Schizosaccharomyces pombe: one gene and its partners. The protein of the gene in region 4 interacts with the protein of the main gene of each other region in a biochemical or structural test. Each region holds a gene or a part of one and is shown on either strand. Other genes may lie near its edges.

Region 1 (7,182 bases), on a different chromosome or scaffold from region 4:
CCTCTACGTATGTGCTGCATTTTTAGTGAAATGGTCGAGTGAATTACAAAAGATGGAATTTCAGGATATATTAATTTTTCTGCAGTCTATTCCGACAAAAGATTGGAGCACAAAGGATATCGAAATTTTACTATCTGAAGCTTTCCTATGGAAATCATTGTACAGTGGAGCTGGTGCACATTTGAAAAGGTAAGGCATAGTAGCCATTTCGTTTTCCCTTTTCAGAGCATTCGTCTTCTTCCTTAATCCCTTGCTTATTTTGGCATAGCAGCCTTTTTCAAATGCCATCCTTCCTATGCATTTTTATAATTAGGTTGACAAATCTCCTTCGTTAATTCATTGTGTTGCTTTTCTATGTTTATGAGCTTATGAGTCTAAGTCTTACTTCTTCTAATAAATTTTCCTTTCATTCACCTAAATAACTTTTCAAGTTTGCTCCTTAACTCAGCTGGATTGAGTTTGCGACTTTTAGAATTTATCATGCAGGATAAAGTATTTCTCTTGAAGAAAGTCTGAACTACCTTAATCATTTTTGGGAAGTTATTAACCCTTGAATTAAATTGTATATTCACTATTACTTATATGTAATTTGTCTTTACTCTTACGTTCGACCGTTCTCTAACCCTTTTCCAGTTTGACTTACGTTACTACTTTACTATTCAACGATTGTTTAGTCCATGGCGTGATACTTTACATGAATCGTTATTAATATCATTTTTTTTTCTCTTCTATGCTAGTCATGTTTTCTTTGGTTTTATCCAAGATTGTACATTACGATTTCAAAGTACGACTTTTGTATTGGTAAGAGATGATGAAAATCGACAAGACTGTACTACATGGTCTGTGTCTTCTTCCTTGATTCGACCAAAATGTATGGATGAATTAGAGTAGATAATGAAAACGCTGTGACAATTTTTGAATATTTATACAACTTAATACAGTTTTTGAACTGAAATAAAGAAGCACGTTCCATTGCGTTATAGAATCATTGTATTACTTTTCATGAAGAAGAAATCATTTATTTATAACTATAGGATCAATTTCTTATCTTTTAAATTTCAATACTCATAGCTTTTTCATGCTGATTTTGCAACTGCTTACCACAACAGCATTTGCAGTGACTGTTTTTCAAACTATATTTACTATATAAGGGAGACTTTGCCTATTACCTCTACGTCTGGCTTAGGAGCGCAAATTAAGCGATAAGAAAGAAATGGATCTGTATCTTTTAGCAAGCGGCAGAAAGTTTGGGGTTGTAAAGTCTGACTGTATATCCAATAACGGAGTAAATGTGAAGGATGTTGGAAATGCATTGAATGAAGGTGTTGTTGGTGCTATTGACGCTACCCGTAAAATGGTGGTTTCATTAGGAACAGTAATGCCTGAAATTCAAAAATGCGGTGTTACTTTTGAAGAGAGCTCCGAGGATGTAAGTGATTTTTATTTAGTAAGATGGGATAGCATTGATGATCCCTTAAATCCCAAAAATTGGCCAATGTGGAAGAAATGGATTGTTGTAGTTCAAATATCCTTAATAGCATTTGTGGTAACTTTTGGATCGAGCGTATACTCTTCAGGTATCGGTAATGTTTCAATGGACTTTGGGGTATCGATTTCTGTTTCTTCTTTAGGCTCTTGTGTCTTCTTGGTTGGCTTCGGGTTTGGATCGTTACCATTTGCTCCTCTCAGTGGTATCTATGGAAGATTTGTTGTTTATTTTTGTACGTTGTTGATGTTTACCCTATTTCAAATTGGTGGAGGTTGCGCACAAAATATATGGACATTGGTTATTTTACGTTTTTTTCAAGGATTTTTCGGTAGTACGCCTTTATCAAATTGCGGTGGTACTCTAAGTGATTTATTTACTCCCATACAAAGAACGTATGTACTTCCTGGCTTTTGCACCTTCCCTTTTCTTGGCCCCATTTTTGGACCCATCATTGGTGATTTTATTTGTCAGAGCTACTTGGGTTGGTGTTGGGTGTTTTGGATAAATATGATCATGGGAGCCGTGGTAATTGTCATTATTTTTTTCTTCATGCCGGAAACTCATGGGGATACCATTTTAGACTATAAAGCTCGGTATCTGCGTAATAAGACCAGAAATATGAAATGGCATACCATTCACGAAAGACAGCGGAATCCAAGGAGTGCAATATATCAAGCTTGTACTGATTCTGTCTCTTTATTGATTACCGAACCTATTGTAGTCTGCTTTACACTTTATCTGACTGTCGTGTACATCATTGGTTATATTGACTTTGAAGGCTACCCTATAGTATTTGCCAAGTACTCTTTCGATCAGGGAGAAATTGGTTTATCGTTTATTGGAATTGGAATAGGTATTGTTTTAGCAGGTGCCTGCACGCCCATCATCTACGTACACTACAATCGAGTTTATACAAGAAGGAATGGGGTTATGTCTCCAGAAGACCGTCTATACCCTCTTTTCTTTGGATCCATAATGCTACCGATTTCCATGTTTTGGTTTGCATGGACCTGTTACCCATACCATCCTTACGTGCATTGGATAGTTCCATTGATATCAAGTATCTTCTTTGGCTGGTCGCTTTTGTTTGTATTTTTTGTTTCCTATAATTACATAATTGATTCCTATCAAAAACTGGCTGCAAGTGCTTTAGCTGCTGCTACGCTTGTCCGTTATGCAGCTAGTGGAGGAATGAGTCTAGTAGGCAGGCCCATGTATGTGAATTTAGGAGACCATTGGGCAACTAGTTTACTTGGTTTTATTTCAGTAGGAATGATTCCTATACCGTTTTTATTTTTTATATATGGAAAAAAAATTCGTGGTTTGAGTAAACACGCATACAAGTTGTGAGTACTACTATTCACAACCATTAGTACAATAGATTTCGCAGCTTTAGGATAATTGTGCCTTGGTTTGCTTGATACATTTTAAGCAATTGAATTAAGTAATTAAATAAACGATACCCAAATCGGTCAGAAGTCAATATGAACAAGCCATAACAGGGTGTTATTCTAGTTTTTATAGTAAATGAGAGTTATACTGATAGATAGATCGAAATCAAAAATCAACCAATCCATCTTGTTTATATGTTATTCTTTACAGTTAACATCTTTTATTAACACAATAGACACAGGCGTATAAAGATATGAAAATGGATGTGAGTAAAAAGGTAATATAAGGATGAAAGAATGAAATGGGCGTAGAATTGATATAATAATTTTCGTGCGGGATGGATTTGTGCAACATAAACGACAAAAAGGTCGAATTATTCTTGATTACCAGCTATTTAGAAATGAAAAGTGTAAGCAAAAGAAATAAAACTGTTTGTAAAGTATTTTCTTCTCTTCACTGTCATAAGCTAGCCAGAAAGCTAAAATTTTAATAACTTATGAGGAACCGAAAATAAATCGTAAAGCCATAAAAACACAAAATAGTGATATATACTAAAGATAGATGTTAGATCTAGCCTTTTTTAAAAAGGATAATTAGCTAGTGAAATAGCTAAAACTCACCGGACTAGCTCGCTCACCAATTCGAGCGCATTTCCAGAATACCATTGTCACGCTGTCAACTTATTAGCAATTCCATATCCCTCAAAACTAAAATATTATATATCTAATAATCATTTAGGCTTACCCTTCTTTTCTTTTTTCTAATAAAGCAGGGAATTGACGGTGTAAATAAGTACATGTGCAGATCGTTAATAGTATAACGAAAAGCAAACTTTCAAAGTTAAAAATGGCAGTCTAACGGTTAATGTTTGTCTTAAAACAAAAATAGTTACCATTTTATTATACTCTGATTAAAATTTTCAGCTTTTAAAAAGCATGTAATTTCTGTGTTCATATATGAAACATACAATGAACTTGAAGTATGCTCACTTGTTCACATTACGACACACAAGACGTTGTAAATATTTATTACGAATTACAACGCATATTATTCGTGTTCTGATACACCGATAAATACCGATATATAATATTAAAAATATATTGAATGTTGGTGGACAAATGCTAATATATGTATGACTTTTCAGGAGGGCTGTATAAAGTATTTGAGGAAATTAAACTATTTATAAATGGGAAAGGGGAAAACATGTTACATAAATATTGAGTAACGTTTAATAAGTCTACATAATACATTGACGATGCAGTCAAGTCAAATAATAATGATAAAATACTTTTAACCTTAGTTTTAAATAGACATGGTTCTTAAATTTCAAAATAACCAGCTGTTCTAAATTTCACTCTTCGATATTAATGGTATAAAACATTGGAACGTTGAGTTTTTGTTAAGTGATTACGAAGGAAGTAAAGGATGTGGAGTTGATATGCTAGAATTGGTATACAGTTTTGAAATCCATTTATCATAAGAAAAAGTATTTTGAATTTGTAACACTATGACTATCCAACCTTCCGGAAGAAACAAAAAGCAATGACGAATGTTTACAAAAATTAATGATACGGCTGCAGTTGAGCAAATGTAAGAAAAAACAGTTGTAACGACAAAAATAGAAAATATGGCATTATGAATGCTTAAAGATTATGTATAAATTGAGAGTAGAACAGTTTAATAGTTGAGGAGCAAGCGGTATCAAAAAAAGAAAAACAAAAATTCAAGCCAGCATAAAAACTTAAAATTGGGTGCTACAAGTTGTTTGCAGAACCTTGGTATAGAAGTTGTTAGAAACGGAAAAATATTGTAGGAGTTGTTTAGTCAATCAGTTTTTACATATCCAAAAAACCATAGCCGACGGAACCATCGTCTCCCAAGCAACTAAGAATTGTTAAATTATAACACATTTTTCATTTGTTTTGATTCTTGGTGGAATCTAGTTTACTCAAATATTGTTGAGATAAACGAATAGCTTCTTTTCTTTTAAGACGAGCTTCTGGGTCGTCTTCAACATTAACAGCATCTAATTTTATCATCCTAGCCAACAATGTTTCACTAAGGCGTGTATGCAAATCTTGAACATCTTGTGCCGAAGCGGGAGACGATTGGCAGAAGGCTTCAATTTTAGGGACGAGATCCTGTTGAAGCTCATCTATATATGCTTCAATTTGTTGCATTGCCGGGCTCAGTTTGGGTAATTCGAGCTCTAATTCACTTCCATTTTGCACATTTTGGTCGGAAAGTGAACCATCCTTGAGGGTCACCCCGTTTAACTTGAGAGACGCTTTGTCGGGCATTACTGAAAATGCGTTGCACACGCGACGAAGAAAACTAGTGTAAGAAACCATATTCAGCCTTGGTTGTCGCAACACAAAATTCAACTTTTCGCCATCGTAATGAACAACGACAATATCTTCGGTTTCAGTAGCTCTCTTTTTCAATAATGCGCTAATCAAAACAGTAACTGACAATACAGCTAGAGAGATCCAATATTTTTTATCCATAGAACACAACTGGGTAAAAAAAGACATGTTGATTTCTCGATGCTTTTTCCTAAAGTCAAATGAATGAAGAAGTGATAAACCGGTCAATAAGCAAGACTAAATAAGTCTGGGTCTTTATCAGATTTCCTTGGTAAATGAAGGAACTGGTATATAAAAATTTAATTGCTAGATAAGAGAGAGGATGTTTTAAATTGGTGAGTTGCTCTCGAACCAATTTCGCATTTGGTGGTTACTATGTAGGTTGTGGAGATGATAGTGTTATGAATTCTTTGAAATGTGAGTTTCTCCTATACAAACATGATAAGTCCGAAAAATGATAATTAAAAAAAAAAAAAGCTGTTTGTTGCCAAAATCTTATTCTTTTTGTTTTTGTTAAAACTTCTGCTGCAGTAGACTGACATGTTGACCTCAAATATCTAGTTATCATTTACGTTCATGCATCAAATTAAACTAATTCAGTTTCGTAAAGATCTTGTTTTTTCTCTTTTTAAGTTTAATTTTTGTTTCTTTGACAAGGAAGGTACCGAAAAAAGCAATCCATGGGATGTGTTTGATAATTGAACAAAGTGTGAATCTGACTTTAACCAGAAGTAGTAATGCTCTAATTTTTTTTAAGAGAATAAGTAATACTCTAAGGATCTTTGATTGCTTTCGGCGTAAATAATTGTTTATTTGTATGTATAACTTTATTCTGAAAAGCAAAGAAGAAGTTTCATATAAATTCATATCAGCAAAAGCGCATTCTCGGTTGATTTTATCGTTTAATGGTTGAATTCTTGGGTATTTTATACCTCAACTATTTTTTCAAAATACTCTTCAATAATTTAGTGGGTTCTCCCATTTGATCGATTCAATTGTTGGGGACTCAAATTGCATAAAAATTGAAGAACAGGATATCATGCTGTAAACAATTCTCCATTTCAACTTTCATTATTGTTACTCGTCTGCAATACCTGGATATATCAACACTTACTCCATCACTGATGTGCTTACCTATCTAAGAGTGCATGTTCTTGGGGACGTCAAAAGTTATGTTTCCATCTTACATGGATAAAGGAATCAGCTCTATTTGCTCTCAAGGGTAATTTCTATTAAATATCCATCTATTTCCTACACCTGCCTGAGAACTTGCTCGAATTATTTTTAAAAGAATATTTTAGCTATAAAAATTTTCTTGTGACCTTTTAATATTATGTTTTTCACCAATTGTTCCATGAACATTACTAAAAAGAGGGAAATATTCTTTTACAAAATATTTAACACGATACCAGCTCAACTGAGGAAATTAGCGTCGCGATCCGCGTACTACTAATTGTTAGCCAAACACCGGTTTCCCAATTCCCAGTTTTGGATATTCTTTTTACTCTCTTTTTTGGCTCTAATTGATCTTTTTCTTTTATTTGATTGCATGTCGGCTTTATCTGAAAGCCCTGCTATTCCTTCTTTTTGGAGACCTGAGACATCCGAGGTATGCTAATTTTTTAAGAAGATCAGAGGTAGTTTCTCTTATTCTTTATGTAAGACATGAAAGTTGCACCTGTACGCAAATTGCAGCTGTTCAATTTGTTGAATGGAGCCTTTCTTTCCGAGTACTACCCTATCTTGCCTGTTTGAAATAATGATTTGCTAACAAGTGTTGCTTGGGCTGCCCCCTTTTCACTAGTTAAGGGTTCAGCTTGCTGGCATTAATGATTAGATATCAAAAAAACCTCGACCAAACACTACCGTCGGATTTCAATTCGATAATAGAAATGTAGGTACAAGTGCTCCTTCTACTCCTGCTATCCGGAGAAA
Region 2 (7,522 bases), on a different chromosome or scaffold from region 4:
AATCTGCTCAACCATTTTATCTTCCGGGCTATTCTGATCAACCATCGGGCTCCTATGTTAGTTCCCGGAACCTGACCTTTGCTCGCATAGTTGAAGCTAGTCACATGGTTCCATACGATCATCCTAATGAAATGAAGACCTTGATTACTGCTTTCTTTAATAATGACTTTGCCAGCTTACCATCGGTACCTAAACCCTCTCCGGATTTAGGTAATGGAAACTACAAATGGCTTTATTTGGGTTTGATTCCTGTTGCTTTAACTATCATTATTTTATTCTCAATTTATTTGTGCAGGAGATTTGGATTATTTGGTCTTAGCAAACAACGCTACCAACCTATATCTCCAACTCCTTAGACTGTATATAAATCTTTTCTGTCGGTTTTTACTTTCACATACAGATTTTCTGCTCTTTATTTTAATCATTTAACTTTTAATCTTGCTTTATCGGTGGTAGAATTTATTTTTTTATCTTGGAACGTTCTTCCCTGGTTTTAAAAAATCTGCGATTATCACCATAAATTTTATCTCTCATCTTTAATCAAATTTCACTTATGGATACATTCTTTGAATTTTTATTTTTGCACATAGTCTCTAAATGATCTCAAATCATGAATATGAAATATCATGTACCAAACATTGTCTTATAGCTATTGTTTGTTCTACAGTTTTTGTAGTTTTTTTATAGGACAGATTAGCGTCAAACGCTAATCTCAATAACGTGTTTGCAATAGTACAGTATATCATGGAGAACTACGTCTTGTAACATGTGTCACAAATGTATAAATACTAGTGAGATCTGTCTGTTTATATTGACAATCCGTTACATCCCTTAATAATCGATTATTATAAATAATTTATAATCGAATCACGTTCCTAAATTCAGTTAGAAGCTATAGCAATGGGAGGATTCTATCACATCTACGCATGAGAACAAAGGAGAACTGCAAGCTAATAACAGATCTACTGTAATCATATTTGACAATCCAAAATCGACGCACGTTATCAGGGACACAATTGATGCGTTTGGTAAATTTTACAGACAGCCTTAACTAAATAGGTCTAGGCAACGAGTGAACTAGCTCTATATCAAAGAAGAAATTGGATAGTTTTATTTCGATGACAACGTCTTTAAATCCATGATCCAATAGGCCCAACTTGCTTGTGGATGGATACTTACAGATGGCACGCTATCGAACAGAACACCAGATATGATCTTATTGCTACTCGGCCAAATTGCATCAAAGTGGTAAATAATATTTCAGCGTAGGTTTTGCATCCAAAATTTTGAAGGAATAGGTTATAATGAAGCACCAACTGCCCAAGCATTTTCAACTGATGTAAACTTGCGAAATTTTTAGAGAATGCGCCTTTTCTGCTGTGTCAATAAACAAGTCTTAGCTAATAAAAAAACATGTCGCAGTAGTACTGACAACGCTATAATTTACTACGTTGTGTATCACATTTGGAACATGTTCTATTTAAACATAGCCTCGTAGATGATAGATATTGGGGCAAATCATTTGATATCTGAAACAAATATTTAGTTTATATGTTCAACAATTTAAATAGGAAACTAAATTTCGTTCCTCACTTTAGTCAGAAGCTAATAACAGAAATAGATCATAAATAATACCTACATATACCAATATTTTCAATGACTCATAGCCGTTATACCTATGTATTATAATATAACAGATCACATGTAAAACTTATCGCGGTTTTGCATATCGTTAAACAGATACAAAACTGCGTAGCATACATAACGAACTTTAGAATATACGCAAGAACTCAACGCAATATTGCAAGGAAAATTATTCTTAAACGATATACCATTAGCCAACATATGCAATTGTCATTACCAGAACTATCGTACACACACAAATCAATAACAGAATTTGAGCCTGCAATTCGGAATGATGGACGTTCGATAGACCAGCTTCGTCCGCTTTCTGGACAAGTAGATGTTCTGCCTGGTACAAATGGTTCTGCTAGAGTTAAATGGGCGTCTTCGGTGGAGATAGTCATAGGTGTAAAAGCAGAAGTGGGTGATGCTACTCCCGAAGGTGGTAAATATGTCGCTTCAGTTGAAATGTACGTGAGATATTTGGAGTTCGTATTAACATTGTTTGGCGTAACAAACAATATGAATCAATTGAAAAAAGCTGGTATGCTAACACTTTTTATGTAGTTCTCCATCTGTTTCAATCCAGAATCGTGAAACCGATGAAATTCCTTCATTCCTTACAAGTGCCCTTCAGGATTTATTAAACGCACTTGCTGTCGACTATTTGAAATTTACACCATCTAAAGCTTGGATTATTCACGTAGATGCTGTTGTAATACTTTCTTCGTCTCCTTACGAAAACATTCTTTCAGCTTTAAGTCTTGCTGCTTATTTAGCATTACAGACTACACGTTTACCTAAAATTTCTACCCCCAATGTCACAGACATCACTATTGGATCTACTAAATATGAGCCTTCCGAAGAATACGATGTTGATTCAGAATGGGAAAATGCATTACCTTTGCAAGGGTTAGAATTAATGTCAGTCATAATTTTGGTTAGTAGCATTGATCAAGTGATAATTGTTGATCCTACAATTGAGGAATCAAGTGTCGCTCAAGTGACATATGCGATTGGTGTTCAAGCTAGTGGTGCTATTAGCTATACCAGGGTCGTGGGTACTGGAGGAGGCTACGCATCCACTGGACGTGCAATAACTGTAGAGCGATATATAGAATTGTTAGAGACTGCGTCTACCGTTGGTACTAAGCTTTTGAACGCCAGCAGCGATATTCTATCTTTTAAGGGTTTAGGATTTTTTGATATTCTTCCATAAATGAATTGGGTTGGGTTGGTCTCCATTTCCTATATAATAGCATCTTTCTCTCTATATATATATATAAATGCAATACTTGGGTTACGGAATCAGGATCAATTTTGTTACATGAAGAGGCATGCATCGGTATTTTTGGTTACTATGGTTGGTCATTGTATTTCGTTTAGGTCAAAGTCATATAGCAAGTATAGTAGATGGGAATAATTTAAGGGAAATGAAATGGTAACGTCTATAAAAATAATAAAGCCTATGCGGCCACTTCTTGGCTTGTTTGGTCAACGTGATCCAACATTTTTTGGATCTTAGAAACAAGTTGCTTCCGTTCAAAACGCAATTTCTCGCTGCCCAGTACGTCAACTCCATCCAATTTTAAAAGCTGTTGTAAAAGTAGTTCACTTATCATTAGTTTCTGTTTGTTTTTCTGCTTTGGATCGTTCGACGGTTTATTTACGTAATTGTCGTACATGGGGGAAAGTTCTTTGTCAACATACTGATCGATGGCTTTTATTTCTCCAGAAATACGCGAAAATACAGGATTCTCCGCTTCCGCTTTCGGAGCGGGCTCAACCGTGTCTTTTTCCTTGGAACCTCGTTGTTGCTTATGTGGTCTTATACATAGAATTTTACTATGATTTTTTAAACCCAATTTTGATAACGAGGCTTTTTTGTCTTTTAAACGCTTGCCAGCGTAAAAAAGCTTGACTTTCTTCTCAGAAATCTCAGTCGTTTCAAGTAAATCATCAATCAGTTCACTTAACGTCTCATTTAGATTGACTGCTACCGGAAATCGCTGATTTCCATAGTGTATTGTAACTGTGCTAGTCTTTTCTGACATTGACGATATTAAGTCGACTTGCTTAACGGATCCAACTCAAGATGTTTTATGTTTTTAAGGCTGATGCTATCCAAAAAAATGAAGGTCTTAATGCGACGCTTAAAAACGAAAGGTAATAAGTTAATAAAAGTATACGAGCGGTCTGGTTATCTAGGTTTGCGGTTCATTATGACTCATAAGGTAGACTCTGCAACTCTGCGTTATATTTGTTAGCAACCATAAAATGAAAAGATTAATAAATAAAGTATGGGATTTTGAAAATTGGAAAAGTAGGAAACAATGATAATTTGACTTACATTTTTTAAACAATCGAATCTTTGCTTTGTGAGATGAAAAACATCACGGAATTGGGTAAGGATCATATGAACTAGAACATTCCGATTAAGTTGGCCATTTTCTATGTTTTTAAGTTGAACTTCCATTTCTTTTCGCAAGAAAGGCTTGGTCAAACTCCACTCTAAACCAATTTCATCATAGCCTTTTGCCAAAGCAACTCCTAAAGAGCTTGGTACAAATTCAGTTACACCTTGGCCCCTTTTTTTTCGTTTTATGACATATTCTCTCTCCTGAACTTTTTCGATGTGCTCTGCCATAGTAGCATCTGTCCCGATTCCATTGGCATCCATCAAGGCAATTAACTCCGGTTCAGTGATATAGGAAGGGGAGGACGTTGAACTGTCCATCATGTCGAGAATGTGGGGTTGGAATTCCTCGTGAAGTCTATACTCTGGTAATTGATCCGAACTTTCCCATTTCTCATATGGATAAACCTCTAAATAATTTTTCTCTGTCACTAGCAATCCCTTTTTAGAAAAAAGCTCTTCTTCCATTTTAACCTGCACCAACGTTTCGGCTCCTTTGGCATTGTCAGAACAACAAGCTAAAAATCTTCTTGTAATTAGCTCATATACTTTCCAATGATCTTGGGAAGGAAGCGCTGACCGGTGAACCATTTGAACGGGATGAATAGGTGGATGAGCGCGATCATTGTGTTTACCTTTTCGGGGCGGTCGATAATCTCCAGCCAAAAGCCTAACATTAGTTATTACGGAAGCCACTATAAGAAAAATTATATTTACCCTTCTGCATAAGAGTCCCATTCTTGTGCACCTGTTAGTTTTTGGATAATCGCATGCAAATTCATTGAAGAGTCAAATTGGTCGGTTTCAGTACGTGGGTAAGAAACAAACCCATTAGTATATAAGTTTTCGGCGAGCTGATGAAAATGATGTTAAAGTTGCAAATTCACTTATAATCAAATCGTACCTCTAAAGTTTTCTTAGCAGAAATTCTTAGATGTTTTGGCCCCAGTTTTGTAAGTTCTACAGTTGATAATGGCAGAGGTTTATACTTGGTTTTTGGTTTTTGAGTTATGTTAACGACCTTAGCAGTTTTGCATTCTAAACAGTTTTCCAAGATGATCATTGTAGTTAATCTGTCAAAAACTTTGGCCCTTTCCCAATTGAACTGAATAGTCTTACCCTGTCTTTTATCAACAAATCGAAGGTGCCAGTAGGTTTCAGGCACAAAGTCTTCTACTCGCTGCCACCGATCAACTACAAAGCCTAATGTAGGGAATTGGCAGGGACCATAACTTATTATTTTATTCTGAAGAATATCGAATGATTTTTGTAATTGAATAGTTTGTAGCCGAGTGAATATTGCACCTAAACGAAAATCAAGTTCAATTCTAGCATCCACAGCATCTGCAGCATTTTTTGAAACATCTCTTGGACGTTTCGCGGCACTGATAATATGTCTGAAAATTAGTTAGCATTTATCTTGAAGGGTTTTTTCTGTAATAAATAAATATCTGCTTTTTAAAACGCTAAGATGTTTATAACTTACGACCGTTCCAAATTATTGAAGTCTGCTCGGATAACCTGAATAGATGGATTGCTGGCTCTAGCTACATTGGAGATTTCCACCCCAATGTGTTCACCCTCACGATCACAATCGGTCCAAATATAAAGGTACTGGGCATTTCTAGCTTCTTTTTTAATATTGTCTGCTAGTACTTCTGCATTCTTTGATACTGAGGTGATGATTTGAGCATCGAATAAAACGTCTTGAGGGACAGAGCTCCAACTAGAATATTCAGAAGGAAAAGAAGCTTCTGTTAAGTGACCGGATACAGAAGTCATTGTAACATCAGAAGATCCAACATTGCCTCCAAAATTAAATGAGAAGTCGTAATTTTTTACATACTTACTTCGTGTATCTCTCTTAAGAGATTAGTAAATTTCAGAAAAGATTAAATTTTTTAACAAACCCTTCTCACGTGTCCACCCCCTAGAATGCTTGCTACCGATTTGGCAATCGAGTTTTTTTCAGCAACACATAGGACGCGCATTTCTTTTAAGAGATGACATTTATTACTTGGATATTGCACACCTTCTAATTATATCTCCCTTTTTTAAAAATGACTGCAGTGTAAAATTCGCGTGTAAGGTGTTAAGGTCGAGATGGCTTTATTGTTTATGCTAACAAATGTTGGTATAATGAAAGGTAGTAAATCGAGGACCAGAAAGTTCATTAAAAAAAATCAAACACCATACCAGTAGTTAATTATACTAGAGAATTAAGAAGAACCTCTTTAGATAAGTAATTATATAATTTTGATGTATGTTGCATTGAAGAAGTCCATGTAATAACTATTTCTTAAGCTTTCATAGTCAGGACGGTTTAATGAATAGATGCGCCGAATGTATAACAAAATTTAAAATTAATATTTTGTTTGTAAAAAAAAGTTAGAAATTTAGATATTTTTTGATTTTTGAACCCATCATTCGCATTGTAAACTACATATTTATTTCTATAGAGCATGGTAAATTGATGTAAGTTCCTTAATTAATTGAAATTAAAATAAATAGATAAATGAAAGTTCTCTTATTGACTCAAACCGGGATTGATAATATTTTAATTTGTTTTTATATTTATATTTTCTCATCTTTTAAATGCAAAATAATTATCGATAGCTAAAAAAGAAAAAGAAAAATCATGCACTATCGATAGAGTGAAGGGACTGTGCAGAGGATTTTTTTTGTTTTTTTAAAACAAAGCGACCTTGTCTAGAAGGCAAGTTTTTGTTTCACAGCTTCTCTCGTAAATCTCAATTAACTACTTTGATTCCATACAATTGGTAACATGTTACTTTCCTCACCACTGTAGTAGACAAGTGCGAACCTGAGATAACTGATGAAGCAGTAGTAAGCATTCTTCCACGAGGTTTCTACTTTTTTTAATATAGTCTGAGGTTTATTATTCTGAAATATAAAACACAAAAAATCCATGTTCGATTAAAGCGATTGAATTTGGGAAGTTTAGGAGGTGCGATTAACCAAAAATTTGAAATTTAATTTCTTTTTCATCTTTTCATTTTGTTTTGTTTATAACAAGTTTTTGCACTTTGGCTTCCACAATATTGACCTTTTTTAATGGATGAGATACAGGAGTCATCGTGTAATGAAAAATTGAGTGACGAAGACCTTGCAGCCGAGTTTGTTGAATTTACCGATAATATTCCAATCGAGATTTATCGTTCTTTACGTTATATAAGAAAATACGAGAATTTTTTTGCAAAAGAAAATGAAAATTTAAATACCGCTGCCAGGTTGGTGTGTGATTGTCCCATTTCAGAGGTCCCAAGTGCTAAGCAAAAATTGGCAGATTCTCTGTTTACATCGCATGAGTATTTACGACAAACAAGTGCAGAAGCAAACAAGTTATATGAAAACGTTTTGGCCTCTTATAAGCACTTGTGTGAAAAAATAAAATATCTAGAAGCAGATAATCCGCTTTATGTTCCAGCACCATGATTTCATTTTATTTTTTATTTTTTTGAT
Region 3 (8,661 bases), on a different chromosome or scaffold from region 4:
TATATATGGTTGATTTTGGTATGGCCAAATATTACCGTGATCCCAAAACCAAGCAACATATACCATATAGTGAACGTAAAAGCCTCTCGGGGACTGCGAGATATATGAGTATAAACACGCATCTTGGACGTGAACAATCCCGTCGCGATGACTTAGAATCGTTGGGACACGTCTTTATGTATTTTTTGAGGGGAAGTTTACCTTGGCAAGGATTGAAAGCTGCCAACAATAAGCACAAATACGAAAAGATTAGTGAAAAGAAGCAATCTACCTCCATTAGTGAGCTTTGTGCTGGATTTCCTAATGAATTCAGTAAATACATGACTTATGTGCGTTCGTTAGAATTTGATGAAGAACCGGATTATGCGTTTTTACAAGAGTTATTTGATGATGTACTTCGAGCAAATGGTGATACGAATGATGGGGTTTATGATTGGATGTTATTGAATGACGGTAAAGGTTGGGAGTCAAGCTCTTCTCATTTTTCTGTTGTTGCTATGAAGCGACGAAAGAATTACCTTGGCTTAAATGTTGTTCAAAATGATGATTCCAGAAAAAAGAACAGTACTTTGCAAACACAGAACATGCGATTTAAATCCTCATATGGGGTGAGAGGTCCTAGAAATTACTCATCGTTCGATGCGTTGCCGAGCAAAAACGCTCCATTGGTGCGTCAAGAACAGTCTGCTTCTAAAAAAACAATTTATGCTCATTCTTCTAGAGGTTACGATAGGGTTCGACCTATGTATGTATCTCAGCCCTCGAATAATGCAGTCGGAGTAAATCATCCTAACGATAATTCTGATTCGGAAGCAAAAGGAGGATTTTTTGATATGATATGCTGTCGTTGCTTTTCTTAGTTTCGAAGCTTCAACTATTGTTAGAGTCACTCACTTTCTTAACTTAAATAAGTGTTGTTCTACTATGCGGTAGATATGCTTTCACAATATCAATCATTTGATGATTTGGTTTTCAGAGTACGGGATAAATGGTTCATCTTTTTTTAATATTAATTTGAGAAACGCTGTATAGCGTCTTTGAGCGGGTGCTTAAATCAAATTCTTTAATTATTTCGATTGCAAATTTGCTGGCACTAGCCTACTTTGCTGGTTCTCGTTTAATCTTTTAATGTTGCTTTCCTTTAACATAACTCAATATTGTCTTAAAACTGACATTGTACTATTGTAGTAAATAATATATACATACACATATATAACCAAACCATATGTATTCTAGGTACTAACAATTGGTAAAATGACAACGGAAGCTAATTCGTTTTCAATTACAAATAAATAGAATAAAAGAAAGGAATTCTTTTTATACTGATTCGTGTAATATATTTTTTAGCTGGACATTCAAAAAATAAACTATACGTGTCTTAAAGTATTTGAACTGGACAAATGCCATATGATTTATTGGAAACTAGGTAATTTCTTTTGAGTAATGGTAAATCCCTTTTTAGTAAAGGAAACAATCAGCAACAAATAAAGAAAAAATTTTGACTTATTGGGTTATAATTACTGCAGCGTATACCTAATATGCTGTATACGACCTCTTCAAAAACTAACGCTAAAATCTGTCAAACCATAGTATGTAATTTTTATTTTTTTTTCTCTATGGCGTAGATATAATTTCGTATCAAGACTGTAGACTTGAAGTTTTAACCCAAGTTTTATCAGGTGTTAAATAGATCTCCCTTTTCTAACTTCTTAGTGCGTGCACATGCATGTGCATGTGTGTTAAACGATTTGAGTCTAAAATTGACAAGAGCGGCTTCGAAATATGATATCTAATAGCTCCATTGAGGATAGAATTAATAAAAATGAAGCATATATAGCCAAGTTTTTTGAAATGTGTGTGTAATTATAAGAATTTCTGTGTTTGTCGCCTGAAGTTTTAAAATTTAAAGTGAATGATTTATGAGTTTACTTACTAACTTTATTAGATTTTCTAAAAATGATAAAATTCGCTTCCATGGAGTCTCACTTGACCGAAAAGCACTTGACTCGTTTATGGTTAGAAACAATTTTAAAAAAAGGTTCGTATCTGGTATTAACCTACCCATTTTAATACGATTACATTTTTATAAGAAACTCTTTACCATTTTATGGCTAACAGTTAGAACGGTCGCTTTGTTATCTCATGCTAGAAACATACAATGTCTAATTCAGGAATCCGATGGCGATGCTAAAGACGTTGCTCGTTCCATTTATATTACTACGGCTGAGTTTCGGAATTATTTGTTGACTGAAAAAGGGTTTTACGTTACGACCAGGAGCATTTCACATTTTCGAGCAATATTAGACAGCATAAGATACCCTTTTGGAAAAGACCATGCTAGCAAGAACATGGAGCTTTTACCTATAGTAAGTTTTACATAAATTTTAAGCGGACTACTATGTAAGGGATCTTATCCAAAAGACGTATCTGCAATTTTTAGGGTTGATAATGTTATACCTTTGCATGTAGTTAAATTCAACGTTCGTTGATATAATATGCCAATGTTTAACACGTTTTCTTAATGATGCATACTAACCGACTACTTACTTAGACTTACGATCTCAGTTTTTGTACTGTTTTTCATGGTTATCTCACCAGTATACTGGAAGCTTATGAATTCTTTAGAGGTGTTTTCAAAAAGTATAAAGCTCCCTTGTCCTCTAACTTTATAGCAATAGGAAAGACCACGGACGAATCTAATTTCTCACAATTGCATCATTATTTCCAAAAGTTTGATGAAAGAATTCGTCGAATATTACATTTAATCTCTCAGGAGTTGGATGGATATTGTCGGATAGCGAAGCAGTAATTAATTTTATGTTCTTTTTATCAATTTTTATTCAGGATATGGGCTGCATTAAGTCGTACAACCATCTTTCATCTAATTTATTATATACTAATTTACATTGATTTGGCAAGTTCCTTAAAGAAAAGAGCCTTTCTCAATATGACAAGACTTTAGTTTGCGATTGTTTACCTTACACTTAACAGGTTTGTTTACATCAGCAAGTCCTTAATTGCTTTTCGCAAAAAAAGCTTTAAAAAAGCTATGAACTTTCAATTTATAAATTCAAATATAAACAATGAAGATAAATTGCCGATGGAGTCGTTGAAAAAGAAATTTTTAAAACAAAATCGTGAAATTATAAAGTAAGGTCAAAGTACACCATTTTTGAATCCCTTGTGGTAAATAATAAACATCTAACTTTCAGAATAAATACTCAGCTTTCTATAAAAATTAGAGAATCTGAAAACGAAATTCAAGATTTGATACAAGAAAATTTCACTTTGAAAAGTTATTTGGTTAAACTTGAAGCTCGATTTCGCAATCAATCTCAAACTGAGGACTTGTTAAAAAACTTCTTTCCTGAGATACAAACCATTCACAAAAAGATTTCACAAGTGCAAAGTTTACTGAAGATTATAGAGAAAAAGTGTTCATCAGATTTCCTCGAAGCGAATGTAAAAAGTCAATTTACAACCTGTGAAAATAAAGATTCGAAAGAAGATTATCAGATTTTGCATAATAAACGCTTGGAGTATGTATCATTTAATGATGAACTTAAAAGTCTCGAAACAGGGCAACCATTGTATTGTTTTCAAGATTTCCAAAAAAAAGTCCATGGTCCTCCGGCTCTATCTGAAAAACCTGGAAAATGTATATTAAAAGATAAAACCAATGCCCACGTAAACAAAATACCACAAGATGAGGTGAATTACTCATTGCCGCAAAAAAATATCACCATCTTTTCAAAGGAATTAAAAGAAAACGAATTTGAATCCATCAACGAGGGCGAAACTGAAGAAGAAAAGGCTAAAACATCAAATGTTTGTGTTTGTATTCCTTGTAAAAGTGCTGAACAGATAACTGACCTTAAAGGACAAGCAACCGGAGACAGCTCCCCATGTGATTTTGAAGAATCTCAACCAAGGATTAATGGACGTGAAAAACTAAGACGATCAGTCAAAGTGATAAACTATGCAATACCCAGTTTGCGAACTAAACTACGACGAGACTTTGACTTACCATCTGATAGAAAACGCAAACGACATCCCAGAGGCAAAGCATAAATTATATTGAGGTCACATTGTTAAATATTTTCACATTTATAGCACAGCTAATTTATAATTTAATCTACTGCAAGCAACATTTAAATTCAAGAGAAAAACAAAAAATAATAGAGGAAGAAAAAAAGAACCTAATCAAGGCTCATTTCTTTTACATAAACACATAATTAATCGGCCAATAAATACAAACCAACATTTAAACATAAGCTAAAAAAGTATGGAGACTTAGCCATTTAAGAAAAAGAAAAGAAAAAGGGCGTTAGATATTCTTTAAATAACCGTCATTAAAAAAAATCCAAATCAAAGCGTATTCGTATCGTTTCATATATATTTTTTATTTTGCTTTGGGTAAAACAAAAATCTCAAATAAGAGAGGAAAAAACCAAAAGGAAGGAATCTAAACTTCCCGGGAGCTTAATAGTAAGAACGGAAAACCTCCTCTTGGTTAACTTTGGGATGATCTGAAGGTCTAGGAGTAGCTTCGTAAATGGTTACAACAGGATCACCCTTGAAGGGAACAAAAGAACCACGAAGACCAATGTAGGCGATTTGTGTAGGATCATCAGAACCGTCGCTTTTGGTGAAGAAGATATTGAGATTTTGAAGGTTTTGATAGAGACGAGTCTTAACAGGAAACTCGAAGATATGGCTTCCTTCAAAAGTCAAGGGAAATTCAAATGTTTCAGTGGCTTGGACATCACCGATTGTGTCAAAATCCAAGTCGGTACGATTGGGAAAAAGTGAAAAGGAGTGTGGAGCGGTTTCATTAGGAAAAATGCGAACCAAAATTGATTTTAGTGTTGCCGCACCTGCAAACGGTACCTGAAACAAGAGTTGGTCATCAGCATCACTTTCTACGATATCAGTGTCATCATAACGAAGGTCCCAAGGTTTGAAGACGAGTTTTCCGGAATCTGGTACAGCTTCATTCAGCGTAACAATTGATTCCTTTCGGATGCAAGAATACAAGGTATCATTTGGACCAGACTCAAACGGATGTTCATCACAGTCAGCGGAACAATGGTGAGGGCCAGACATTTAGTACAAACTTCTAAGGAAATCGTTAAAAATGCAAGACTAGGCGAGTTGATAGGTGAATAAATAAACGGTAAACTCGCTAACAAAAAGTAAAAGGGAAAGTTATTTGCGAGCACACTAAGACGTAAGACCGACACTCGGAAGCAAATACTCAAACAAAACAACTAATAGGAAGAAAACCAAAAGCGGAAAAATATGGCGAAAAAGCCTCCCGAGACCAGAAGTACGTTATGCGTTAAAATATTTTTCTTAGAAGCTTTACTAGTCTTCAGCAAAAGAAAAACAAAAATGGAATCAAAATCAGAATTCAAAACTGAAAAGAAAGAATATAAAAGTAGTTTTTTAACGATGAATTATTTTATTGCTTTTTAAAAAATTTTGATTTTGAGACAATAACCGAAAACTCACTTTTGTACCAAAGAAACGTTGACAGTATAAGCAAACAACCTCCTTACTGACTTTTAAACACCAACTTGAAAATATTCGATGAATAGTATGAATACCAGAATTTTAAAAAATAAATAAAAGAAAATCTATACATAAATATAAAGGGGCCTTTTTGTTTTTTTTTTGGTTTTCTCGCAAAAAAAAGTTATTCAGTCGTAAATTTCTACGTGGTAGATGAAAGAAAGTGTAGAAATTTCAACGTTAAATTAGCGAGACTTTTGTAGCACTGTATGAGGAACAGAATTTCAAGGCATACGAACAACTAAGCTAAAAGGCCCATGAAAAAGACAACACCAAAGTTCTTCCTTGGTAACATTGTTTCTATCCAGGCGGGTAGGATGTGGGCCGTGTGGCGCTCATTGTAACAATATATATGTATAGGATTTTGATAAAAACCGGTTGCTTGAACATGCAAGAATAATGAACGGTGACACGTGACAAAGTTACAGCGCAGAAATACGGTGACAACCAAAGCAAGACCAAGGGAAAAGGTTCGCTATAGATGTGAAACAAGTCATGGAAAGAAGGGTGGGGGAGGGCAAGCCAAGGCTGGGGGTAGCGTAAAAGTATAACTTTGTATAATTTTACATTGAAGAAAGAAATGGCACGCCATATGTAACGTGTTTTCTTTTCCATGGTGAATGTTTATTAAGAGAAACATGGATATGCGTACATTCGGGATTACATTGGTGTGGGAGGATTGAACATTATGGATTTGATTATTTAGAGAAAAAAAAAAAAAAAAAGAAAGAAAGAGAACGTACTATTTTTTGGTTGACTTTTATATTCCTAAGGTTTACTCCTAATGTCGCTACGGACATGAATCCGTGCAAAAGGACCTGAACCGCTGTTAACCCTTGCCTTAACCGTGTCTCGCCCCTGTTGTTGATATTTTTATGCGACTGAAAAATGCCTCACTGGTTCAACAAAGCATGAAAGGATTAGAAATTTTTAATGAGAAAATCGATGTTGAATAAAAATGACCAAAGAAGTGTTCTTGCATTTTCTTTCTCTACTTTTTTTTATTTTTCTAATTTTTCATCCTTGAAAAAAAAATACAAACGAGAATGATCTGCATCTTGATATCTTTAGCGAATATCCTGATTTTTGCATAACTGGCTTTTTTTTCTCTACGCTTCTCTTTGTCCCGCTGCACTGGATAGTACTAGATACATATGGAATAGGGTGTTTATACAAGATTCTGGAAAAAGTAGTAAATAAATGTCCCAAAAAGGAGAAACTTGACAGAAAAATAAAAACAAAGAAAAACAAGGAAGACATGGGAAAAAGTGGGAAAGGAGTTTTGATTTGAATACGCCTTACCTACTTAGAGCCAAAAAAAGAAAAAGAACTTGAAAAAAATTTTTCTTGAGAAGCCGTACATACGATATTTTCTATTTTTTTATTTTATTTTTTTTTTCGTTCTCGAGTTTAATTACTAAACCATCTTATTCTATTTTTACTCGTTTGTTGGAATGCGATTTTTCTAGCACATAACCGAAACACGCAGCGTTCGTTATCTGATCAAAGGAAAATCATTGAAAACATAGTATGCAAAAAAGACCCTCATGGGTTTGTAAACAAGATTCATACGTCCTTTAATAATCGATTTCATGAAATGAATGAATTCCAGTAGTAGGTTAAAATTTTTCCAAAAGATTCTGATGCGTTTAGCACTATTGTATTCTGCATATAGCAAAGCACATGGATGTATGTAGGATGGATACATGTGGGATGGGTACGTGAAAATGTGGGATAGATGTACCTATGTGGGATGTTTTGCATACCTACAGAGGAAGCACAGGTGGGATCGGATCCAGTAGCTACTACAGTTGGTGATTGTTACTGTTGGCAGAGTGTTGCATCCTAGCTCTTTGCTGAGGAGTTATTGCTTCGTGGCAAACTACAGAGTAACACGTGCTAGATCCCGCGAACGTTAGATTCAAAGATCCCAAACACTTACAACAAGGTTACATGAGTATAAGTAAATGGTACGTGAATTCTACGTTACCGGTCGAGGCAGAAAGTTGCTTCCGACCGTCTTCAGAATCAAGTCATTCCATGGAATTGTAAGACAATGTGTGAAACAACAACGAGATTTCACTTCTTTTTTAGCTAGTTCTCCCGCTATGGGTGTCGCACAAGGACAACAGGTAAAATTAATTTTGATGCTACTCATTGAGACATGGGAAACAAAACATCAATCATGCCACAGTCATTTCATTTTATTAGAATTCACTCATCTTTTTGTACGCAAGTTTTCGCAAATATTTTTCGAGTTCCGGTTGTTTGCTCACCTACTATCATAAATACAATGTATAATCAATAAACGATTCGCACTTTGTCGTTAGAAATCGAAAAAAAATAAATAAATAAATAAATAGATATATAAAAGTAAAACCATTCTCTAATAGTGAAATATATTTATATCTCTATCATGTGTAAATTTTGTTTTATTATTTTTTCTCTTTTTATTTTTACTTCTCTAGTTCTCTATTATTGAATTCCATTTATTTTATTCTATTTTATTATAATTTAAACTAATTTCTTTTTTTTCTCATTCATTCCCAACCGTCAGTTTAATTTTTCATCCCTGCCCTGCACATCTTTATACATGCTATATTTCGACCCCACCTATCGCCTTAAATCTCTCGTTGAAAAAAAGTCATCATCACCATGGTTCTCCATTTTGCTCCGCTACTGACTGCATCGGTGCCTCTTTTTACAGTCCAAAGATGTGCGATCAGCATCATGTTGTTGTGAGCTGGCGTACAACTGTCTTCTCACATGTATTTTTGGGGTTTAAAGGCGGAGAATATGATGCGAAAGGTCGCTTAAAGTGAGTAGAAGAGTATTCGAGAATTAAAATGAAAAAATAAAAAATGTAGTGTGTTTTTACTATTGTATATGACACCCCGGCTGAGCTAGCGTTTGTGTGTGCATTTAGTATGCGAGTTAGTACACACAGTGTTTTTCTCGGTTTCCCACTTCCGACTCAAATCCCCCACATCAGTCGTTCTGCTTTCTTCTCTTGTGTGTTGTAATCAAATTATGAAGAGGTAACATTGTACGCAACTCACGCAATGTATTAGCATATGCAGTCGGTCG
Region 4 (7,749 bases):
GACTCAACTTTTCCTTCACCAACCGCAGTGTTGCATTAAGCAGCAAAACGTTGTCACCTTCGAATAGCGTCTTTTTGACGAATAAAAAGGTTGGACAACAAAATTAAATTAAGCAAATTTGTGTATAAACTAACAGCAAGTGAAGTTGTACCGGTTGTATGATTGAAGCATTGTAAACCAAAGAACAGCTACTTTGCCTTGTCGTACATTAGCTTTTTCCTTTGCAAAGAACTTTTAGGGACCTTTTTTTACCACAACTAGAGAACCGGTGTAGAAAGGTGTTCTATTTTAGTGAACGGATTCGTTTAATTTTTTCATTGAGAAAAAAATTTGATCTATCTTGATTTTTTCGACTGTTTCCATTTTTAACTATTTGTGACGTTTCTTATTGCCAAATTTCAACCTTGAGCATTGTTAAAAAAGCTGAATTTAAATTTCTTTGCTTTTAACATACAAGTGAGCTATTGGGTTTGTAAAGATTTAATACTTGATTGGAAGTTTTTTTGGTCAAGTCTGTTTTTTTTGGGTGTTTTTTTGACGATCAGTTGAAACCGCGAATAATAATATTTATTATAACTCCCTAAAAAAAGAAAGAAAATCATTTATTAAATAATTTTTACTTTCCTTCATTGTTTCTGAATTTTGCTTCTCCCTGCCGTTTAATTGTTTCATTTTCTTTTAGAAAGTACTAAAAGGTAATCAAATCGGCTAGTCTTGCAACTGAATTTTCTTTGAAGATAATATCTAGATTTAATTTTTCCCTGCTTGAATTTCCTAAGATCTTGCGTTCGTTCGGACTGAATTGCATAATTTATTGAAGGTCTCCATTCCTGTATACTTACTCGACTACCCATTTATCGGTCAAGCTGTATATATACACGCACAGTCAACTTATCTTCTACTTATATTTATAAAACTATTTATTTTATTTCTCTTTAATCCGAGCTTCGTTAGTTGATTCTTTTGATCTTTGCATTGGTAACTAATCCAGTGCGCTTTTTTTTTTGAATCTTCGTGACAGCTATTTTCTGATTTTACTTCATCTTCAAACTACGATCTGATCGGCTTTGCCTTTCGTCATGCAAACTTATACAGGTATCATTAAGACCCCGTTGGATGCGATTATCCTTTTCGAGGCCTGTCGAATTGGTCTTCTTCCACGCGTCCAGCGTCGATTGTCCGACCATGAAAGAAGCTTGATACGAGCAGGCAGTGTTTTTGTGTGGGATGAACGGGAAGCTGGAATGCGCCGTTGGACTGATGGTAAATCATGGAGTGCTTCTCGTGTCAGCGGTTCATTCTTAACCTACCGAGAAATGGAGGGTAAACGTAAACCTTACCATCACGGTCTTTCCACCGATGGTTCCCTTAAACGCTCTCCCTCTGCAGATACGACTGGTAATAGTTCCCTAAATGCTTACAGCAATGAGGACAGTGGAGCCGCGAGCTTGAGTGATGAAGAGTCGGTTGATGATGAGAACCTACGGGGGTTGCATTACAAACCGAACGGCTTAATTAAGCAGTCCTTTAGTATTACTACCTCCTTAAATCATAAACTTCACCTTATTTCCTATTCTTCGCCTATCCCTGATCCTTCATTAGTCACGCCAAGTAGTGATGTTAACCTTTCACGTATCACTATTCCATATGGACTGTATCCAGACGCGGGTCCACCGCTTGTTCAAGCACCAAAGTTTCTCGCTCCTTATGATATTCTTGTCGAGAAAGTTGCCTGTAGCGAAGACGCGCGCGTTTTGGATAAGTTGCGTCAAGCCCTATGGCTATAGGTTTGATCTTTTTCTTCACATTGGGTCCTACTTCTCGGTTAAAAAGTGTACTAAATTTACTATAGATTTCATTTGCATCATATATGGGGCTTTAACGACTCCCAATCAATCCTAGTTTCCTGTGACATTTTCTCGGCTGCGTTTTCGCTCTTACTAATCTGCGGCTTTGTCTATCAGCGTCTAATTTATGTGGTTGATCAATTTTAATTTCAAGTTACCACTTCATTCTTCAGCACTTACGGCAAGTGATAAAAACAGAAAGCTTGTTTTGATTTAATTCATTAACTAAGTAATCGCTCAACTGTCTTGCAAATACGTTTTCTGTTCGTCGGTTTAGATGTGTATCGTTATCATAACTCTTTAGACATTTCGCTTTACGCATTATTTTGTTTCGTCTGCGAATATCGGAAATGTCCTTTTTAAAGAATCTTTTGTGGTTATTTCATCAATGCTTCCTTTTTTCTCTTTATTATTTATTTCTTTTCATGATGGAAATGGTTAAGTAAACGTCTATCATGAAGCACGGTAGAACAAGTATTCAACATTTGAATTATGCACTCAACATTTCTATTTTTTACTACTCAACTTAGAGCTCATGTTCGGGTAAAATGATAGGAAAGCATCAATTCTTAGGGTAATTTGAATTCCTTAAATACAACTACTATGAAATTAATTCTTTATCTTTTAAGTAAATGCATAGCTTTTATTTGTTGTAAATGAAGTATTTTCAAAGAAAAGGTAATTTTTAAATTGAATAACTGAATACATCATTATGCTATGTCAAGATGATGCTTAATAAGGCTTCAAATATTCGGGAACTTGATGTGAACGTTTAAAGATAGTTAGGCTCAGATGATTAATGAGGACAGATTAAAAAATTTTCCTCTAAGGTCAAATTGCATGTACAAACCTATGAAACAGTTGTTGGAAATTTTTTAATCTATTATGTATAAACACGTGTGTTGCAAGAGAGTAGAAACCGTAGTACAGTCTGGAAAATCTTAACGTACAAATCACATGTGAAAAAATAGGTTCCTTAAAGGATAAAAAACAAAAAACAAGAAGTACCTAAAATGCTGGGGGCATATTTTTTTTTTCAAAAATGCAAAAAAGAAAGGGTTGCTATAAATAATTTGAAATAAACTAATTAACAGGGAGATATTAAAGAAAGGTGAGGTTTCATGTATTTACAATTAGAAAAAACAAGAAAATTTCGAAAAGTCATGATTCTGAAATAATAAAATGAGCACGGTGCAATTTAGTTTGCGAGTTGAACAAAATGTAAAGAGAGAAAAAGAGAAAGTAGCAGAAACCATTACTTCCCAAATAACCAAAAAATTAATCATCCATGTTAGCAACCCAATCGTCATCAAAATCGCTTGGCTCTGCATCGTCCGCAAGTGGTGTAAACACAGAATCATCGTCATTTCCATAACGATTCCGACCCGAGACTTCCTTGCCCAAACCATGAAGTGATAAATAAAGCATGCGCTTCATATTTTTGTTAAAAAAAAAGTAGGACATCCCCCATATTAAAGCATCATCGCCGTAAGGATCGCTGTCGCTATCTGGAGTATAGGAATAAACGCTGCAATCAGACAGGTTGATATGACGGTCGATAATTTCCCAAATTCCATTCACACTCAATCTACCACGACCAATGTTATTAAGTGTAGAATTAACGGAATCTACAACACGAGATAGTGAAGGCTCTTTGTAAAAATCTGTTGGTTGGAGGCTACTAAAATCATGATCGGGATAAGAGGCATTAAGAGTAGCGACAATGTACATAAAGGTACGACGAGAAGAGGACTGATCAAGAGGCCCAAATGGACTTTGCTGAGTTAGGCTGAAAGCATATTCCGGTGATTTACTACTCGATAATGCAAATAGATCCTCCTGACACCGATTCTCTATAGCTTTAAAGAGTTTCTTGTCAGAATTTGTACTCTATAAAATTGTTAGCACATTTTATATATCAGTATATTCATGTCTTGGTAAGTTAATAAAGCAGAATGCTCCCGAATCTAAAAACAGACACTCAGACGCGGTACTCCATTTGGTAAACAACAATCGTAATCATTTTGGTTTCAGATTTGAAACGTAAAGAAACTAAATAAATAATCACAAAAAAAAACAATGATTATATAATTAGCTGATCTTGTACAAGAGACCAAAAAGAACCAAAATTGTTCAACTTAGTGATTTGACCACGCAAGAAAAGAGGATCATTATTAAAAGCATATGTCAAATTCAAGAACCAATGTACAATTTTCCCTTTACCAGACTAACCAAGCTTACAAGTTAAATTTACCTTGGTTGTATAGAGCTCGCACTTTCCGCGTATGCGACAATCATCGGCATCAAATGATAAGGCATTATTGACTGTATCTAAATCGGCAAGCTCAAGAAACTGGTCACAAAAACAGGGTTTAGTAAGACAAATAAAAAGTAAAATATATTTACCTTCATAGTAATTGTAATGTAATCAATTCAATTGTTTCCTTTCATTAAAAAGAGGTTTGCTGTGGTTAGGTATCAGCGTCGCGTCCAACGTCAATGTCACTTCTATTAAGGGTACGTTAATCTTAAATAACAGACTATAAGCTAATAGTAAGCGTAAGGAGTTTGTTAGATGTCGGTTCAACATTTTACCGAAGCTTAATATATTTGAGAAACCATCCCGATGCATTGCCATTTATTTTTTTATGCTGTTTTAAGGTACTTAACCGTATAATGTGTTAAAGTCCAAGTCGAAATGCATTTATTTATTCATAAAAATAAATATTTTAAGTAATTAAAAGGAGTCTAATAAAAACAAATCAGTTTAAAAATATCGATTATAAGTTTTTCCGTATTTTTCTGATGAGCATTGAGTAACTCAATTTTTCAATATTCAATTTTTTCTACAATTCTTAAAAGAAACGGTTCAAGTATCATTATTAACCAAAAAAAAAGTAATAATAATTTATTTAATGAATAATCGTCGCTTCTAGAGTATACTTGTACAATGAAATTGTACATATATATACATATTTTTTTTAAATTGAGCCCATTAATAAACTTGCACAACATACATCAATTCTTTTATTGTATTACTTATTACACTTTTACTATTAAATTATATTTATTTTATTTTATTTTTAAATTCAATTCCTAGTGTAAAATGTATTAAACTGTTTCACCTCTTATCGTACAGTTCAAACATTTTGCTTACACCAACTTACCTTTACCAAGAACTATGGACTACGTTGGTGGTTCTCTAAAACTGAAAAATGTAAAAAAAAAACCTTTGAAAAAGAAAAAGAAGGATTCTAAAAAACTTGCTGAAAAAGTTCAAGAGCATTCTTCCCGAGATAAATCACCTTTAGAAGAAAATGGCGTATCTACGTACCAAATGCTTCGCTCAAAGGATACAGACTCGGCTATGCCGATGACGGAAGCACAGAAACATTTTGAGTCTGTTCAGGAACAAAGATTACTTCAGAAAGCAAAGAATGAGCGATTGAAAACACATAAAGACAGGATTGATGAGTATAATAGACTACTGGAAAGTCAGTCGGAGCATTTTGACATGCCTAAAATTGGACCCGGCTAGTTTTCAAAACACGTCCTTTTTTCTCTCAATAGCTATACTTAAATAGCAATGGATGCCTCCTCTATTCTGCATAGTTTTTCTCCATCCACCTACCATATTCTTTTATGAATTACGCACTCTAATGAAATCACTATTTTATTTTAACAATACGCATTATACCTCATTATTGTTATAGCTATTCATTTGTCTCTAGAAAAAACCTGTTTATAGCCAACTACCACGTAAACGTATACTAGCTGCCTAAGTGAGACCAAAGACATAGAATCTTGTATATTCGTTTTGTATAGTGGTTGAAACATATAGAAAGAACTTCCTTTGAAGAACAAGCACATTATAGTGACCTTTGATTGTTTTTGTCGTCTTACTAAATATCAGTGAACAGCATTAACGTTTTGGTAACTTTATTTAAATACTTATACTGAGTTTCTCATTTAATCTCCAATTACACTTTTATTTGCGGTTATTTGAGAGGAACCCCACTGATACTGATAAACTCTCATATTTCAATACATACATACGAGTCATATTTTTCGCGATGGAATCTTTACAAAGATTGTTACAAGGTGCCCGCATGGGTACTGGTATGATGGGAGATCAGCCTCTTGTTGATAATTCCGAGTGTGTATACATTTCATCTCTAGCTTTGTTAAAAATGCTTCGTCATGGGCGACATGGTACACCAATGGAAGTTATGGGTTTGATGTTAGGAGAATTCGTTGATGACTTTACAGTACGTGTTGTTGATGTTTTTGCAATGCCTCAATCTGGTACAGGTGTCAGTGTAGAAGCAGTCGATCCAGTTTTCCAAAAAAATATGATGGATATGCTTAAGCAAACAGGACGGCCAGAAATGGTTGTAGGTTGGTATCATTCTCACCCGGGTTTTGGTTGTTGGCTTTCTAGTGTCGATATCAACACCCAACAATCATTTGAGCAATTAACACCAAGAGCGGTGGCAGTTGTTGTCGACCCTATTCAATCTGTCAAAGGAAAGGTGGTAATTGACGCCTTTCGATTGATTAATCCGTCTACCCTAATGATGGGTCAGGAACCCAGACAAACAACTTCCAATTTGGGTCACATCAACAAACCTAGCATTCAAGCTTTAATTCACGGTTTAGGAAGACATTACTACTCCCTTCGCATCAATTACAAAAAAACTGAGCTTGAAGAGATCATGCTTTTGAATTTACACAAACAGCCTTGGGCACATGGTCTTTTACTTGAAAACTTTAATTCTGCTGCGGAAAAAAATCATGCTTCTATTGATAAGATGAAATCCTTGTCAGAACAGTACACTGAACGTGTTCAAAATGAAGTGACTTTAAGTCCGGAGCAACTTCGTATTCAATACGTTGGTAAACAAGATCCCAAGAAGCATCTTGACGCTGAGGTTCAGAAATGTATAGACAACAATATTTCTTCCATGTTAGCTTGTATGCTTGATTCCGTTGCCTTCTAGTACATCTATTTTGGTAATACCTCTTTTCCATCATCCGTTTTTTATGAGCTACTTTCTTTCCTTACTCAAAGCATTTATGAACTGTTTGAATAATCCTGTTGGTCGAATCTGATACTACTTTTTTACGATTTCATATTCGTGACTAGGAGTACATTTTTTTTAAAACTTTTTACATGATCGTGGAGTATGATTGATGATATTTTGGTAAGCTCTTGAGATTGCGAGCGTTTGCTTTGATGGATTCTTATATATTTTTTTTCATAGATCCTTAAGATATACCTGCACACCAGTCTTTCAAGCTTCTTCCCAATAAGAAAAAATTGTTTCAATTATTGAATTTGTAAACATCTTCTACCAACATGTTAAAAATTTTGTTTCCTTGATTGTTTGTAATGTACCTGTAAGGATCGTCGATCAGCGTCAAACCATTGAAGTTGAATACATAAAGGTATAACTGAGGCTACTTAATTTATTATATGACATTTTAGCGTGATATGATTTTTTGATGTAGCATGATATTGTACTTGTCAAGTATTCCTATCTATCTTTCAACCTTTGCCAACCACTAACGTATGTTGGTTTACGGAATCAACAAACAATTGTTTATTAAGAAGTTTAACAAGGTTTCTTTTTTATTTTCAACGTTTAAGACTTGCTCCAATATTTAACTGGTTTTTTGAATTCATAATGAATAGATCTGCTGCTTTATCAATCTTAAAGCGCCAAAGTTCTACGGCAGCTTCTTCTTCACTCAAGAGAACTCCTTTATATGATCTGCATTTAAAAGAAGGAGCTACCATAGTCCCCTTTGCTGGTTTTTCAATGCCAGTACAGTATAAAGGTCAAACCATTAGTGCCAGTCATAAGTGGACACGGGAGCATTCTGGCTTATTTGATGTAAG

The links.
Region 1: the proteins of rpn11 (region 4) and bag102 form a complex in vitro, tested with the Schizosaccharomyces pombe proteins (one study listed by BioGRID).
Region 2: the proteins of rpn11 (region 4) and bag101 form a complex in vitro, tested with the Schizosaccharomyces pombe proteins (one study listed by BioGRID).
Region 3: the proteins of rpn11 (region 4) and txc1 form a complex in vitro, tested with the Schizosaccharomyces pombe proteins (one study listed by BioGRID).

The regions. Positions count from the first base shown.
Region 1 is NC_003423.3:786,465-793,646, forward strand, and holds bag102 (BAG family molecular chaperone regulator Bag102), read right to left. Parts: upstream 5,620-7,182; 5' UTR 5,416-5,619; coding exon 4,795-5,415; 3' UTR 4,200-4,794; downstream 1-4,199. Other genes in the region: GTPase-activating protein Gyp1, read left to right, coding at 1-193; SPOM_SPBC530.02 (transporter), read left to right, coding at 1,214-2,839; protein ksh1, read right to left, coding at 3,376-3,432, 3,502-3,553, 3,626-3,735, 3,774-3,776; Tea1-anchoring protein Mod5, read left to right, coding at 6,797-6,856, 7,085-7,182. UniProt on the Schizosaccharomyces pombe protein: Inhibits the chaperone activity of HSP70/HSC70 by promoting substrate release.
Region 2 is NC_003423.3:4,230,108-4,237,629, forward strand, and holds bag101 (BAG family molecular chaperone regulator Bag101), read right to left. Parts: upstream 3,800-7,522; 5' UTR 3,678-3,799; coding exon 3,090-3,677; 3' UTR 2,843-3,089; downstream 1-2,842. Other genes in the region: kex1 (serine carboxypeptidase), read left to right, coding at 1-356; exosome subunit Rrp42, read left to right, coding at 1,846-2,093, 2,191-2,842; top3 (DNA topoisomerase III), read right to left, coding at 3,828-3,872, 3,974-4,709, 4,757-4,893, 4,944-5,436, 5,526-5,902, 5,950-6,030; protein ptf2, read left to right, coding at 7,115-7,495. UniProt on the Schizosaccharomyces pombe protein: Inhibits the chaperone activity of HSP70/HSC70 by promoting substrate release.
Region 3 is NC_003423.3:963,156-971,816, reverse strand, and holds txc1 (poteasome interacting protein Txc1), read right to left. Parts: upstream 5,538-8,661; 5' UTR 5,107-5,537; coding exon 4,483-5,106; 3' UTR 4,072-4,482; coding exon of another isoform or gene 3,213-4,071; 3' UTR 3,151-3,212; coding exon of another isoform or gene 3,050-3,150; 3' UTR 2,926-3,049; downstream 1-2,925. Other genes in the region: serine/threonine protein kinase (CK1 family) Cki2, read left to right, coding at 1-860; SPOM_SPBP35G2.04C (uncharacterized protein), read left to right, coding at 1,783-1,853, 1,946-2,366, 2,552-2,809; shugoshin Sgo1, read left to right, coding at 3,050-3,150, 3,213-4,071; SPOM_SPBP35G2.17 (uncharacterized protein), read left to right, coding at 7,542-7,862.
Region 4 is NC_003424.3:3,005,059-3,012,807, forward strand, and holds rpn11 (19S proteasome regulatory subunit, ubiquitin-specific protease subunit Rpn11), read left to right. Parts: upstream 1-5,587; 5' UTR 5,588-5,920; coding exon 5,921-6,847; 3' UTR 6,848-7,249; downstream 7,250-7,749. Other genes in the region: cAMP-independent regulatory protein Pac2, read left to right, coding at 1,080-1,787; RNA polymerase III-inhibiting protein Maf1, read right to left, coding at 3,126-3,737, 4,102-4,200, 4,254-4,259; SPOM_SPAC31G5.21 (FAM32A family protein), read left to right, coding at 5,029-5,385; glycine decarboxylase T subunit gcv1, read left to right, coding at 7,535-7,749. UniProt on the Schizosaccharomyces pombe protein: Acts as a regulatory subunit of the 26 proteasome which is involved in the ATP-dependent degradation of ubiquitinated proteins.